2 linked regions of the Canis lupus familiaris genome follow. The protein of the gene in region 1 binds, or shares a complex with, the protein of each later gene. Links are inferred from orthologs where the notes say so. Each region holds a gene or a part of one and is shown on either strand. Other genes may lie near its edges.

Region 1 (6,782 bases):
TGGATCACGCCCTGGGCCAAAGGCAGGCACTAAACCACTGAGCCACCCAGGGATCCCTTTGTGCTGCTTTTTAGAAATGCATTTTTTACTTTATTTTACAGGGTTTTCTTTTCTCTCTTTTTTTTAATGTTTTTTGGACAGAAAAAAATGCATGTTATAGGAATGGAAATACATATGTGTAAATATATATTATATAAAGTAAGATATTAGAGAATTTTACATCAACACTTTTATTAAAAAGTCTAAATTTCTAACTTTTTTACTGTTAGGAAAAAAAGCAAAGAAACCCATATATTGGAATGTTAAAGTTTTTCCAGAAAATATTTAAACACTATGGTAAATTCACCTTAAGCTTTAAAATAAGCTTTTCCTAATGTTTTTTGAAATGTATCATTATGGTGGTAAATACCATTCAGTACATATTTCATAATACTTAGATACAGTAGTAGTTAATTAGAAATTTATGACTAACTTCTTATAACTGTAAAGATTATCAAATTCCTATTAAGTGTTATAGTGGAGTTTCTCATCAATATGTATTATTAAGACTTTGCTGTCCTTAAACAGTGAAACCAGGCTCATTCTGTAGACTTTTAAAAATACTTGTGCCTAGTTTCTCTTGGACTTAAAATAACTGATCTTATTTGTGTTTTCTCTTTATCATACTTTCCATTTGTGTTATTTATTATAGTAAATCATTAACCACACGTATATTGACATGCCTATTTAAAATAATAGTGGTGTACACAAAAATAAACTCAAAATGTATTAAAGACCTAAATGTGAAACCTGAAACCATAAAAATCCTAGAAGAGAGAAGAACACAGGCAGTAATTTTTTTGACCACGAGATTAGGAACATTTTTCAAAGTGTGTCTCCTAAGACAAGGGAAACAAAAAGCAAAAATAAACTGTTAGGATTACATCAAATAAAAAGTTTTGGTACAGTGAAGGAAACCATCAACAGAACAAAAACGGTAACCTATTGAATGAAAGGACATATTTGCAAATGATATATTTGATAAGGGGTTAATATCCAAAATATATAAAGAACTTAGACAACTTGGCACCTAGGTGGCTCAGTGGTTGAGCATCTGCCTTTGGGTCAGGTCGTGATCTCAGGGTCCTGGGATTGAGTCTTGGATCAAACTCTCTGCAGGGGAGACTGCTTCTCTGCCTGTGTCTTTCCCTCTCTCTCTGGGTCTCTCATAAAAAAAAAAAAAAAAAAAAAGGTAGACAACTCAACACCCAAAAAACAAGTTTTTAAGAATGGGTGGAGGACCTGAATAGACATTTTTTTAAAGACACACAGATGGCCAACAGACACACGAAGAGATGCTCAACATCACTCAACATGACTGAAATGTAAATCAATACTACAATGACATATCACCTTTCACCTGTCAGAATGGCTAAAATCAAAAAGACAAGAAGAAATATTTAGTGTTGGCAAGGATGTGGAAGAAAAGGAACCCTCATGCGTTGGTGGGAATGCAAGCTGGTGGCCACTGTGGAAAACAGTATGGAAGTTCCTCAAAAAGTTAAAAATAGAAATACCATATGATTTAGTAATTCCACTGCTGGGTATTTACCCAAAGATGATGAAAACATGAATTGGAAAAGATCTAGGAATGTTTATTGCAACATTATTTCAATAGACAAGATATGGAACCAATCTAAGTATCCACCAGTAGACGAATGGATAAGGAAGATGTGGGAGACATACACACAGTTGTATATCTATAATTCTATATACATACACACAATGGAATATTACACAGCCATAAAAAGGATGAGATTGTGCTATTTGTATTTCACTTATGCTAAGTGAAATAAGGGGGGGAAACAAACAAAAAGCAGATATAAATACAGAGAACAAACTGATGATTGACAGGAAGCAGGAGTGGGAGAAAGGCAAAATGGTGAGGAGTCATGGAAAAATAGGTTTCTAGTTATGGAATGAGTAAGTCACGGGAATAAAAGACACAGTAAGAAATATAGTCAATGATACTATAATAGCATTGTATGGTGACAGATGGTAGCTACACTTGTGAGCATAGCATAGTGTGCAAACTTGTTAAATCACTATGTTTGTTGTACAACTGAAACTACAGTAACACTCATTTATACTCAAATGGGAAACTTAAATAGTGGTGTTGTTTTAAAGTAAATAGTTACTTTTTGTTTTGTTTTTCATTCAGAATGAGGTGCAGACAGCAAAAGAATTTATAAAGATTGTAGAAGCTGCAGAAAATGAATACCAGGTATGTTTTTCAAAAGTACATGATTTATATTTGCTTATAAATAATGGCACTGAAGTTTTAATACTGAAGTTTATAACTGAAGTTATAATAATGGCACTGAATTTCAGTTATGAGCCTGAATTTTTTTCATTTATTTCACTATAATAAAACAATCTTTTTTGGGTTTTTTTGTTTACTTGTTTTTAATTCAGTGGCAAACTTATAAAAATGTGGCCAAAATTCAGTTTTAGCCAACAGTAATATCTGAGTATTGGTCATAATATGCCAAGATTTTAAATGGTTATTTTGTTTTTGATTGGAAATTTTAATTTATGAAGTATTTCCCAAAGTATTTAGATTATGTGTAATCTGGTCAGATCTTATTTCACTTTATACTCTTATTTTTTACATTTTTTTTATCAGCTTTTAAACCGTACTCTTGAACTTACACATTTAATTTGTGGATTCGCCACATTTCTGCTTCTTGGAAACAATAATATATAAAATTGTTTTGAGTGAAATAGTAAAATAGATCCAAAATGAGAACACACAAATATTAAATCCAATTTACAATTTCATTTCATTAAATTATCCAAAACAATTATAGGCTTTTTTCTTTTAGGAGGTTCTGGCTGGCTAAGTCAGTATAGCACATGATTCTTGAACTCATGACCATGAAATCCAAACCTGAGCCAAGAATAGGAGTTGGACACTTAACTGACTGAGCCACCCAGGCGCCCCTCTCTTAGCTGCTTGGTTTTTTTTTTGTTTTGTTTTGTTTTTTTTAAGATTTTTTTTAACTTATTCATGAGAGACACAGGCAGAGGGAGAAGGAGGCTCCCCGTGGGGAGCCCAATGTGGAACTTGATCCCGGGACTCCGGGATCAAGCCCTGAGTGGATGGCAGATACTCCACCTCTGAGCTACTCAGGCATCCCTTTTAGCTGCTTTTTAAACAGTTTCCAAAACCACATTGGGGTTTTTGACTTTTTTTTTTTTTTTTTTTTTTTTTTTACTTTTTAAAAACAGTGAAATAAGCTGGTTAAATAAAGGTTTTTCTAAAACATCTATGTGTTGTATAAATTGATCTGTTCCTTTTATTTCTTAAACTTTTAACTACTATTTTTCATAGACCGCCATCAGTGAGAATTATCAGACAATGTCGGACACTACTTTCAAAGCCTTACGTCGACAGTTGCCAGTTACACGCACGAAGATTGATTGGAACAAGATCCTTAGCTACAAGATTGGCAAAGAGATGCAGAATGCATAAGATGAACATTGCATGACCGGATCATTTTAATGTTTTTGCGTTTAAAAAAAAAATCATTGCAAAAAGTATTCAGAACTGTCAAGCTACCCAGTCAGATGGGCTGTTGCCATTTAAAATCACTGTAATTAATTAGTTTGGTTAGAGCACAAAGCTTAGCTAATCAACCGTTATTTTTCATTTCTTTTGTTCAAAGAGGACAATTAGTTTAAATGTCTTTTACTTTCTGTTATACCTTTCTTTCTTATAATTAAGAGATGATTCCTCTAGTTTAATGTTAAAAGTTTTTGAAGTGTTTCAAAAATATTTTACTTATCGTAACCCTAAAGTTGTTGTCTTTTGGTTTACGAAGTGGGCAACTTTTGATATTTGCCCAGTTCTTTTTAATGGGGTTAATAATGGACATTCTAGTTTAAGGTGGTTGATGGATTTAGCCATATATGCTGCTAAAGAAATTGTCTACCTTTTCCCCTCACCTCTTCCATTTATGTAAGATTGAGATTAGAGGGAAAGCATTTTCTATATCAATTGTGTTTGAACTTTGAAGAAGGTTATTTAGCTAGCTTAGTGTTTAACTAAACTTTTTTTAAATGAGGCCAAGGTCTAATGCTGTTTTGAGATTCTGAAATTAAATGGAAATACTTATTTCAGAAATGCATTTAATGCTTTTTTTCTTGTGACAGTTACGCAAATTAGCTTGAACTCCATATGTCCCTGAGTTATTTTTATCATAAAGCCACAAATGTATTATAACAAGGCAAATTGTAATATATATAATCCTGAACTCATGACCATGTCTCAGTTTATTTCTTTTCTTGGATTGAAAAGTACTGAAATTCAATGTGACATTAAAATGGAAATTTTCCTATTTATTTGAGTAGAATATCCCTTATCAGTGAGTCATATACTATTTTAAAATACTTTCTTTGGATATTGTGATTCTTAACTGGTTGTAAATTAGAGAAGCTGGGAGTACATATGGTGTGCATTACAGTCTAAATTTTTCCATCTTATGCATCATAAGCGTGTTTGTAATATTTTAAAATATACATTTACTGATGCTACAGGAATTTCAAACCTGTGGTGAATGTTAATATTTACTATAGAGAGTGGGGTGGATTTATGGTTTCATTCAATCGAGTATTGCTTACTATACTCCAGTGGAATCTCTTCCTCACATACTCTTGGAGATGTCTGGGCCTGGAAGTGTTTTTTTAAAAACACCACTTTTATTATGTACAATAAAATATTTCATTAGCTTGAATTGTATAGAATTTAAAACTTTTCTCAAAGCATGTCATTTAATTTCTTTTTAAAAATCAGGCTTGGGCTTTGAAAACACTGAGAACTTAATATGAAATTTGAGTTTGGTTAAATTGTTTTCTCTTAGTTTTGCCATATTGGGATTTCTGAAGAAAATGAATTAGCAATGTTAATTTTCTCTTCCCTTTTTAAATAGGCATTTTCCAAAGTCATGATTCTGAACTGAACACTAGGTAAATCTTTAATTGGCTTGTTCAGTCATATCATTTGGACTATCGTGGGTTTTATCCCCTACAGGTCAGTTACTTTGGATGTTTTATGGCCCTAGAATGTGATCTTGAAAATACATGCATTTGTCTTTAAGGTGATGATTTAAGGGTGAAGTACAGAGGCAAGGGTAAAATTAGGGGAACAGTTAGGAGGCTACTGCAGTAATCTAGTTGAGAGCAAATGCTGACCTGGTCTGAGGTGGTAGCTATAGTCTATAGAGGTGGTGAGTTCTGGATATGTGTTAAAGGTAAAATAAAAAAGATTTGCTGAAAGTTTGGTTGCAGAATATGAGATGAAGAATGCCAGAGACATTTTGGGGTTGAGAAATTGGGGGAAATTCAGGGTCAGCAGAAGGGTTGGTCAGGAGCTCAGTTTTCGATTTCAAGGGGAAATACCATGTAGCAGTTAGATACTGAAAACAGGAGGTAGAGTGGTCCTCTGGGCTGAAGAAACAGTGGAATGAATGGACCTGGGTCACAGGGTTTGGTAGCCAGGCAAAATGAAGTCCAACTCAAGGTTAGTGATGATGTAACGTGACACCAAGGGAGTCCGCTCTGTTAAGCACGTTAAAGCTGCACGGTGCAGGCACAGAGTAGAGGAGTTGAACCAAGGTTGTGGTTTTGCCAAGAGAGGCTGACTCACCATGGGAACGGGGCAAGGTTGCAACGATAACCTCTAAGAACGTAAGCTTAGGTAAGGGAGAGAAATGAGGCCAGGAGAGGAGCAGAGAAAGTGTGGCACAATCAGTAGATTACATAGGTTAGAGTTAGCGTACTAGAAAGCAATGAGTGGTGGTTAGGGTGATGTGTTAAAAATTGAGATTTTGAGGAGTTATACTTACTCCTAATGATATTAGGATCAAGGGAGTGACTGGCTGAGGTAGGAGAGGAGAGGAGTTCAAGTAGCTGTGAAGCCTGGGGTCGCTATGGGGTACTGAAATCAAGAATTACGGTAGAAGTAAGTATTCTGACATGAGTGCTGTTTTTCAAGACTACATCTCGACATTTATAATACATTTGTATGAGTTAAGTAAATAATATGGTAAAGATACTCATGAGGTTTTTCTTCATTTGGGATTTTAGAAACTAAAATGAGAACAGAAGCATATATAAAAAGGTATTCTGGAAGTCCTGGTTCATTAAAAATGTTCTTGAAAAGTGAAATTCTTAGGAAACTAATTAAAGATGACTAGAGGTCATTCCATTGCTTTTGGGTGGCATTTTCTGTGGTTAAAATAATTTTTTTACTTAATTACACCAAAAGCTTTGGAATGATGCAAGATCCTTTGAAAAGATCTTCATGCTGATAATCATTTTGTGCCTTTGCCAGGTAGTGGGTATAAAATATAAAGGCATATTTTGCCTGCAGGTAACACAGGTGTTTTGTAATGCATGTGTGTTGTGAAACATCCCAAGAAGAATGTGCATTTCTTTTCACTTCCCTAGGTTAGATATTTAAAAGCAGCATCGCAATGTACTTGCTATTCCTAAGTTTAGTATTTTTGTCCTTGAAACTGAAAAAATTTTAAAGGCATGACTTTGTATAGACATCTTCACATTTGATATTCTGAGTATTATGCAAAAGCTTTATTGTAGGATTGACCAGTGGTGCCAGCTATTGGAGAATATTCAAAATATTCAATTAAAATTAAAATAACCAGTGAAACTTTTAAGGTCTAATTGGTATTAGAAATTAACGTCAAATCATTTAAGATTAATCACACTGTTTCCAGAGAACC
Region 2 (7,726 bases), on another chromosome or scaffold:
CTTAGAGAGAGATGGGACACCTGGATGGCTCAGCACTTGAGCATCTGCCTTTGGTTCAGGGCATAATCCCATGGTGCTGGGGTCGAGTCCTACATCGGGCTCCCTGCGAGGAGCCTGCTTCTCCCTCTGTCTAGTCTCTGCCTATCTGTGTGTGTCTCTCATGAATAAATAAATAAAAATCGGGCAGCCCAAGTGGCTCAGCGGTTTAGCGCCGCCTTCAGCCCAGGGCGCTATCCTGGAGACCCAGGATTGAGTCCCAAGTCGGGCTCCCTGCATAGAGCCTGCTTCTCCCTCTGCCTGTGTCTCTGCCTCTCTCTCTCTCTCTCTCTCTCTCTGTCTCTCATGAATAAATAAAATCTTAAAAAAAAAAAAGACAGTGATTTCGTAAAAATAAAATAAAATAAATAAAAATCTTAAAAAAAATAAAGATTTCGAGACAAGTCAACCCAGTGTACCAAGTATACTTCAATTTTAAAAATAAATAATAAAATTAATAAAGTGGGACAAGTCAACACAGCAGCACCTTTTTCTGCAGCCAGATTTAGCTACACAAGAGCAAACGCAGAATGGTTTGTAGATTCATTGACTGGGTTTTGTTTTGGGTTTTTCTTTTTTTTTTTTTTTTTTTTTTTTTGAGAATGGAAATGTTTGCCTTATTTTGGATCTGAGAAAAAAATGATAGATTTAACCATCAAGTTAATGCAGGTGAAATACTGGCCTTAACCTAGATTAAGGGATCCCTGGGTGGCGCAGCGGTTTGGCGCCTGCCTTTGGCCCAGGGCGCGATCCTGGAGACCCAGGATCGAATCCCACATCAGGCTCCCGGTGCATGGAGCCTGCTTCTCCCTCTGCCTGTGTCTCTGCCTCTCTCTCTCTCTCTCTGTGACTATCATAAATAAATAAAAATTAAAAAAAAAAAAATTAAAAAAAAAAAAAAAAAAAACCTAGATTAAGACTGTCAAACAATGAGGACAGGGAGAAATAGAATCAAGGGAGCTGGGATCCCTGAGTGGCTCAGCGGTTTGGTGCCTGGCTTTGGCCCAGGGCGTGATCCTGGGGTCCTGGGATTGAGTCTCACATCGGGCTCCCTGCATGGAGCCTGCTTCTCCCTCTGCCTGCGTCTCTGCCTCTCTCTCTCTCTCTCTCTCTCATGAATAAATAAAAAAATAAAATCTTAAAAAAAAAAAAAAAGACTCAAGGGAGTTGATTGAGCCTTAGGACCCCTCTGGGTGAGAAGAGAATGAGGACAGGCGGGGATTGCATGGGAAAGAAAATGTGGTGGTCCCCACAGAGTCGGGGAAATGCTGGAGTGGATGAACAGAGCTGGAATGGCAGGTGGTGGTGCTCACGGAAAAAGAGTGGCTGTTCTGAAGCAGGACAGAATCTTTGAAGGTGAGGGGTTGATGAAGTGTGAAGGCCCAGGTGTTGGATGAATTTTCTGTGTGCAGACCGAGGGCCACAATGAAAGCAGTGGTGAGAAACTAACTGCAAGGCAGGAGCTGAACTTACAAGGAATGTAGGAAAAGGGGGGCAGGTGGCCCATGAGCTTCCAAGGAGCTGTGCATCTTAGGAAGAAGAAACCAAGATCTGGAAGCAGTGACAAAAAGCAAAGAGGTCACTTCTTGCATCTCCAGGCCCAGAGGGAGTTGGAGGGAAAACCAGTCATTATGTGGTAAGGCCGTAGGGAATGTCACACCTCCTGTGGAGTCTCAAGTCTCCTGGAAGAAGACGAAGGGAAAGGTCTGAGAAGTCTAAGACTGTAGGGGGTTTGTGGATGATAGACTGAGCTTCCAAGACTAGTTTTTTGTTTTTTGTTTTAATCCATATGCACACACTTCATTTGCCAGTGAATTCTCAGAAAGGGTGTAAAAGAAACTGTTAACAGCCTGGGATGATTAGGCAACCCAAGTGGACGAACTCTAAATTCCTACTCTGTCCACCAAGTGGGAGAGAAAGAATGACCTTATCAGGGTCATTATTAAGGGGATTCCCAGAGGGAGTGAGAAGTAGCCAATGGTTACTTACAGGTCCCTCCTACCCTGAGCTTTTATCACTACTTTATTATTTTTGGCAAATCCCTTTCTGCAGCTGGGCCTCAGTTTCCGTACATGTGAAGTGAGGCGTTTGGACTGTCTTCTCTTGGCCTCCTTCTAGCACTGATGGTCTACAACTCTCCCAGAAGCACCTTTGGGTCCACTCCTATAGTGGGGGAATGAGACCAGAGAAGCACAGAGTAGACACAAGTGCCCACAGCACCATTTGAGGGTAGCACACTTGCATGCTCACCAACACAGCCACTGAGCTACACACACAGTCACTCAAACCCTGTGTTCACAGTATTGTGTCAGGAATATCACCTCACACCCACAGGATCCTGTAGCCACTGTCTCCTAAAGTCTCAGGCCCAGAGACGCCCACATAAGACCCCCACATACCTTGAGCAAGTGAGGCAACTGCTGAGTGACCAGTTCCCTAAACTCATGGATGCTGAGGCTGCCCTTCCGGCCCTCCTGCCCTGCAAAGGTGAAGAAGGTGGTGACCACTGTCTCAATGGCGGCCTCCAGCTCCGTCAGGGGCTCCGCTGCCATCAGGACTCTGCAGGACAGGAAAGGAGGGAAAGGCAGAGTCAGAACAGACCCAAGGGAGGGATCCCTGGGTGGCGCAGCGGTTTGGCGCCTGCCTTTGGCCCAGGGCGCGATCCTGGAGACCCGGGATCGAATCCCACGTCGGGCTCCTGGTGCATGGAGCCTGCTTCTCCCTCTTCCTGTGTCTCTGCCTCTCTCTTTCTCTCTCTCACTGTGTGCCTATCATAAATAAATTTAAAAAAAAAAATTAAAAAAAAAAAAAAGAAAAAAAAAAAGAACAGACCCAAGGGCCCCTGCCGGGGCATTGCCACCTCGGCCGGCCTGGGAGAAGAATTACAGGGAAGCAACGGGGAGGGGGCGGGGACAGGGATGGAGATGCGGAGCAGGAAAGGGTGGACGCGGCGGGGGAAGGGAGGTGGCGCTCAGAAACTGGTTCTCCCCAGCTCCTGGGGACCCTCTGCGTGGTCTGAGCGGAGGCCCGGCGGAGTGGCCTCTCCGTAGGCTTCAGTCCCAGGGCTCTTCCTGGGAGGCTCCTCCGGCCCCCGGAGCCCAGGAGGCTGTCTCCTGGCCTGTGTGCGCAGGGACCCCTGCCACCCCGCCCACACCCGGGGTCAGGCCTGGGGACCCCGCCCGGCGGCCTCTTCCCGCCCTCCCCTCCGAGCACTGCCCTCCTGGCTCAGGGACGGCCCCGGGCGCAGCGCGGGGACGCGGGACTTACGGCTGCCGGGCCAGGGGCAGGTGGGCGGTGGGCGCCGGGACCGCAGGGACCGCAGGGACCGCAGGGCGGGAGGCAGCAGAGGCCCGGCCCGGAGGTGTCCTGCCTCCGCCTGGATGCTGGAGGGAGTCTCCGCCCAGGCCCGCCCCGCCCCCGCCTCCCCGGCTCCCCCGCCTCGCCTGCCCCCAGTGGCCCCCCGTGGCCCCTCAGCCTCCGGGTGCGACCTCAGCAGGGGGAGGCGGTAGGGAGCCGCTTGGCCCTCTCCGCTCTGCGGCCTGAAGGACTGAGTGTGCGGTCCGAGAAGCACCGCAGAGAACCCCCCCCCCCCATGCGATCCTGAGAAGGACCTCGCAGCCCAAGACCCCTGAGAGGGGGACCCCGCTGAGACCTCCGCGGAGGAAGATTAGGACTCAAACCTCTGAGGGGGTGTCAGGCCGGGGGCCCCCCAGCCAGACTCCCGAGATGAAGTGATTGACGGAGAGGCCCCCTTCCTGAGAGCCCTCGTTAGGATCAGGATCGTCCCTCTCCTGTCTGCCAGGACCTTTCCCACCTCCCTTCCTCCTGTCCTCCCGGGCCCTGCCTGGGGGACCGTGGGGGAGGGGAAGCCAGTGAGGCTGGACAGGACACAGGGCAACCTGTTCCAGCTCGGGAGACAGAGGGCGCCTCTGTCCACTCTGGGCCCCTTGGCCCCCTGGGTGTCTGTCTGGGAAGGGGTGGAGCCGGTGGGAAGGGGGGGGCAGCGGGAGAAGGCCTGAAGACTAGTCTCCCCACACAGCTCCGTTAACCACATTTGCAGACTGTCCATCTGTCCAGAACCTGCCCCCACCTCAGGTCCAGGCTGACTGACGGTGAGTGTCCTGCACCCTGTGTGCTGGGTCTCTGCTGTGGCCAGCTTAGGGGGAGAGGGGGCTTGGATGGGGCTCCCAAAGTCTGGGGTGGGAAGAAATGGTCTGGGAAGAGTTCCAGGGACAGCAGTTTGGGATTTGGGAGAGACAAGGTGCGGATGGTAGTGCAGGGAAGCCAGTGGAGGTCAGAGGGAGGTGTGCAGTGTTCCTCAGAGAACGAAGAAGCCAGTGGGGAAACCAGACACCAAGCTTCCTTGGAGCCCTCCAAAGTTCCCTCAATCTCCCAGGGGCTGGGGGTGGGGTGGGAAGGGCAGCCCCCACATTGCTTCCAGTTGGGTAAGCAGAAGAAAGCAAATGGAACTGTTGCTTCTGCCCCCACCTGACCGTCCCCTAGCCTTGCCAAGAACTCAGGTCCCAGGGAAGTCTGGGGGTGGCAGAGCGTGGACCACGTGAGATCAAGAGGAGGGGGCATTCAGGTCCTGCACCCACTCCCAACTCTCCTCTCACATGACCTTGCCTTTCCCCTCCTCCTTCTTTGGCCCAGATTTCCAAACTCCTCTTTCCTTCAACTCTTTCCTTTTGTTTTGCTGTGTGCCACCCCCCACCCCCTGCCCAAGTCCTCTCCAAATGCCCCCCACATAAAATCCCAGGCTGCTCAAGTGCCCCTACTGGATGGGGCCAATAATGGGGCCACCGACAGCCAACCTCTTCTCTCCATCAGCCTCAGCTTGGGTTCCATCTCCCCACATCTCTTTGACAACTGTTCCTCGTGTCCAGAGTTCAGGTGACACTCACAAGGCTCCCATTGTAAAGATGGAATGTCATTCGATCAGGGCCCATTGTTCAGCCCTCAGGCCTGGGGGAGGACAAAGACATTTGATCTGAGATACCAGAGCTGTCCCCTGAGGCTGCAGAGGGGATGACCATCCCAAGACCAAAAGAAAGAGACCCAGTGGCATGGCAGTCCCCTTCCTCAACAAAGCCTTCCGTGTCCCTCTTCTCACCAGCCTCTGGAATTCAGAGGACACACTCAGCCTTTCATGTCCCCCAATACATGGCTCGATTCTCCTACAAACTGTCCTCACATCATCCAGGCTGGGCCTAGGTGGGGGAGTGAGCAGCAAGAGGGACCAGGCCCCAGAGGCCTCCTCTCACCTTCACTGGTAGCCCTGGCTCTGGGGAAAGGCTTGGCCATTCCTCTCTCCCTTCCCACCATCACTTGATGTAAGGCCTGATTCTGCAGAGAAGTAGGAGGAACCAAACTAGAGGTAATGGAGGTGCACCCCAGCACAGCTGAAGCGACCTGTTGAGGACAGAGCAGAGTTGAAAGACCAAAAGAGGCCTGTCTGCCAACAGGAAGCTTAGAGGCAGTTAGATCCCCCTCCTGCATGAAGCCTTAGGCCAGCCACTCTGGCTGACTCCATCAGGCTGGCTGAGGGCGTCAGACTGATTCCTTGCTAGGAGCAGACAGCAGAATCAAGGCTGTGGGGAGGAACGAAGCCCACCACCCTCAGCAGCAGAGCTGGGCTGTGCTAGGCAAGCAGAGCAGAGTAAAAATAGAGCCAGAGAAAGCTTGGCAGTGTCCTGTGACCACTCCCGCCTGCCTGCCTCACCCTCCTCAGTGTCCACCTTGGCAGCCAGGAGCCACTGCAGAGGCCACTGGAGCCACTGCAGAGGTCCAGAGCTGCTCCACCTCCACCGCCCAAGCCCTGAGTCCCTCTGGCTGGGATATGGATTGAGGGAGAGAACAAGCCTGGAGGTAGGCCTGCTTGGGTTCCCACATTCTAAAGTCTCAGTGAGAGATAAAGTGCAGTGTGGCTCTGATCTCATGGCGGTTTCAGGTAAGGGACCAGGCCAGGTCTGAGGGCTCCCCTCACCCCAACCTCAGATACCCTGAGCATGGTCCCCTACTTACTTCCATGGTGGGGGGTGGGTAGGTGAGCTACGCAATGGGCTCTGAGCTGGAGACAGCGATGGAGACTCTCATCAATGTGTTCCATGCCCACTCGGGCAAGGAGGGAAACAAGTACAAGCTGAGCAAGAAGGAGCTAAAGGAGCTGCTGCAGACTGAGCTCTCCGGCTTCCTGGACGTGAGCACAGGGCAGGCGTACAGGGTGGTATGGGTGAGGGGAGGAGGAACACCTGGGGACCTCTCTGCCACCTTCCCACCCCACCCCCAACCCACTCCAATCATCTTCTTCCTCTGCCAGACTTCTCTCCTGGATTTTTCTGGGCTCCCATACTTATCTTGTTTCAAGACAAAAATACCCTAATTTGTTCATCTCCTGTTAAGTGCTAGAACCTGTGCAGATGCATCATTAAGAAGGCTCACAGTCTAGGAGGGAAAGACTGACATGAAAGTAAACCATGAACACTGGGAAGTGAACTATTGAGGACAGAGCAGTTGAAGGACCAAAAGAGGCCCCCAGTCTGCTGGCAGGAAACTCGGAAGCAATTAGACCCCCTCCCCATGAAGTCTCCGGCCAGCCACTTAGGAGCTACACAGAGCATTAACAGAATTGCCCGAAAGGATTATGGGACAATAGTAACCTGACTGAACGGGGCTTCTCCAAAGACGGGGCACTTGAGCTGTGGATTTCCTTTGGAATATTATTAGGGTAAATGTAGGCATTTTAGGAGGTATCTGCATAAACAAAAGCATGAAAAAAAAATATGGAGCACGCTCAGTAGTTTTGACCCGAATGAAAGATGCAGAAAAGTAGGCTGCAAATGCTGACAGGGGCTCTATGATACAGAAGCCAGTAGTAAGTGTAGTAAGTGCACCAGCTTCGAGGTTTTATCAGTCCTGGGGTTTCGGTTCTGATCCTGTCACCTTCCAGCTGTGTGAGTTGGGCACATTATTTAACCACCAACTGTTAATTTGTTTATTCCTCTAGCATTTGTGCTAGAATTAACAATTTTACAAGACAATGCTTGTAAAGCTTCGAGTGTACTACTCTTATATAAGCACTCACCATACGGTCATCAATGTTGTTATTACTCTGCCTTGTTAAGGAGCTTATTTGGTGGGTAACAGAAGGCCACAAGTGTTAGTTGTTTTTTGTTGTTTTTTTTTTAAGATTTTATTTATTTATTCATGAGAGACACACAGAGAGAAAGGCAGAGACACAGGCAGAGGGAGAAGCAGGCTCCATGCAGGGAGCCCTACGCGGGACTTGATCCCTGGACTCCAGGATCAGGCCCTGGACTGAAGGCAGCGCTAAACCGCTGAGCCACCTGGGCTGCCCAAGTGTTAAAGAGGATTCAGAACAGTCCCATAATTAGATGTAGTTCTCCCTCCTTCCTCCCAATCACCCACCTCCCTAGCCCAATTCCATACTATCTATCTCCCAATGTACCCACCTCTCCATCTCCTCCCTCCACAGGCCCAGAAGGATGCGGATGCTGTGGACAAGGTGATGAAAGAGCTAGATGAGAATGGAGATGGGGAGGTGGACTTCCAGGAGTATGTGGTGCTGGTGGCTGCCCTCACAGTGGCCTGTAACAACTTCTTCTGGGAAAACAGTTGAGCAGACACCCCCAGTGGCCAGCGTCCTTCCCCATCCCCCTGCTTCCCTCCC

What was found.
Region 2: the proteins of CAPZA2 (region 1) and S100A1 are in contact, whole or in part, in an NMR structure (PDB 2KBM), measured with the Rattus norvegicus proteins. The link is inferred for Canis lupus familiaris from reciprocal best matches to the Homo sapiens genes CAPZA2 and S100A1. Residues at the interface, in NP_001009180.1 of Rattus norvegicus: Thr267, Lys268, Ile269, Asp270, Trp271, Asn272, Lys273, Ile274, Leu275, Ser276; in NP_001007637.1 of Rattus norvegicus: Ser44, Phe45, Leu46, Asp47, Lys50, Asp51, Ala54, Lys57, Ile58, Glu61, Leu78, Ala81, Leu82, Thr83, Ala85, Cys86.

The regions. Positions count from the first base shown.
Region 1 is NC_049235.1:55,949,159-55,955,940, forward strand, and holds the end of CAPZA2 (F-actin-capping protein subunit alpha-2), read left to right. Parts: intron 1-2,200; coding exon 2,201-2,263; intron 2,264-3,373; coding exon 3,374-3,514; 3' UTR 3,515-4,875; downstream 4,876-6,782. UniProt on the Homo sapiens protein: F-actin-capping proteins bind in a Ca(2+)-independent manner to the fast growing ends of actin filaments (barbed end) thereby blocking the exchange of subunits at these ends.
Region 2 is NC_049228.1:43,418,055-43,425,780, reverse strand, and holds the start of S100A1 (protein S100-A1), read left to right. Parts: upstream 1-4,026; 5' UTR 4,027-4,148; intron 4,149-6,082; 5' UTR 6,083-6,094; coding exon 6,095-6,235; intron 6,236-7,508; coding exon of another isoform or gene 7,509-7,516; exon of another isoform or gene 7,517-7,531; coding exon 7,532-7,675; 3' UTR 7,676-7,726. Other genes in the region: S100A13 (protein S100-A13), read right to left, coding at 1,510-1,587, 2,109-2,199, 2,436-2,595, 7,509-7,516. UniProt on the Homo sapiens protein: Small calcium binding protein that plays important roles in several biological processes such as Ca(2+) homeostasis, chondrocyte biology and cardiomyocyte regulation.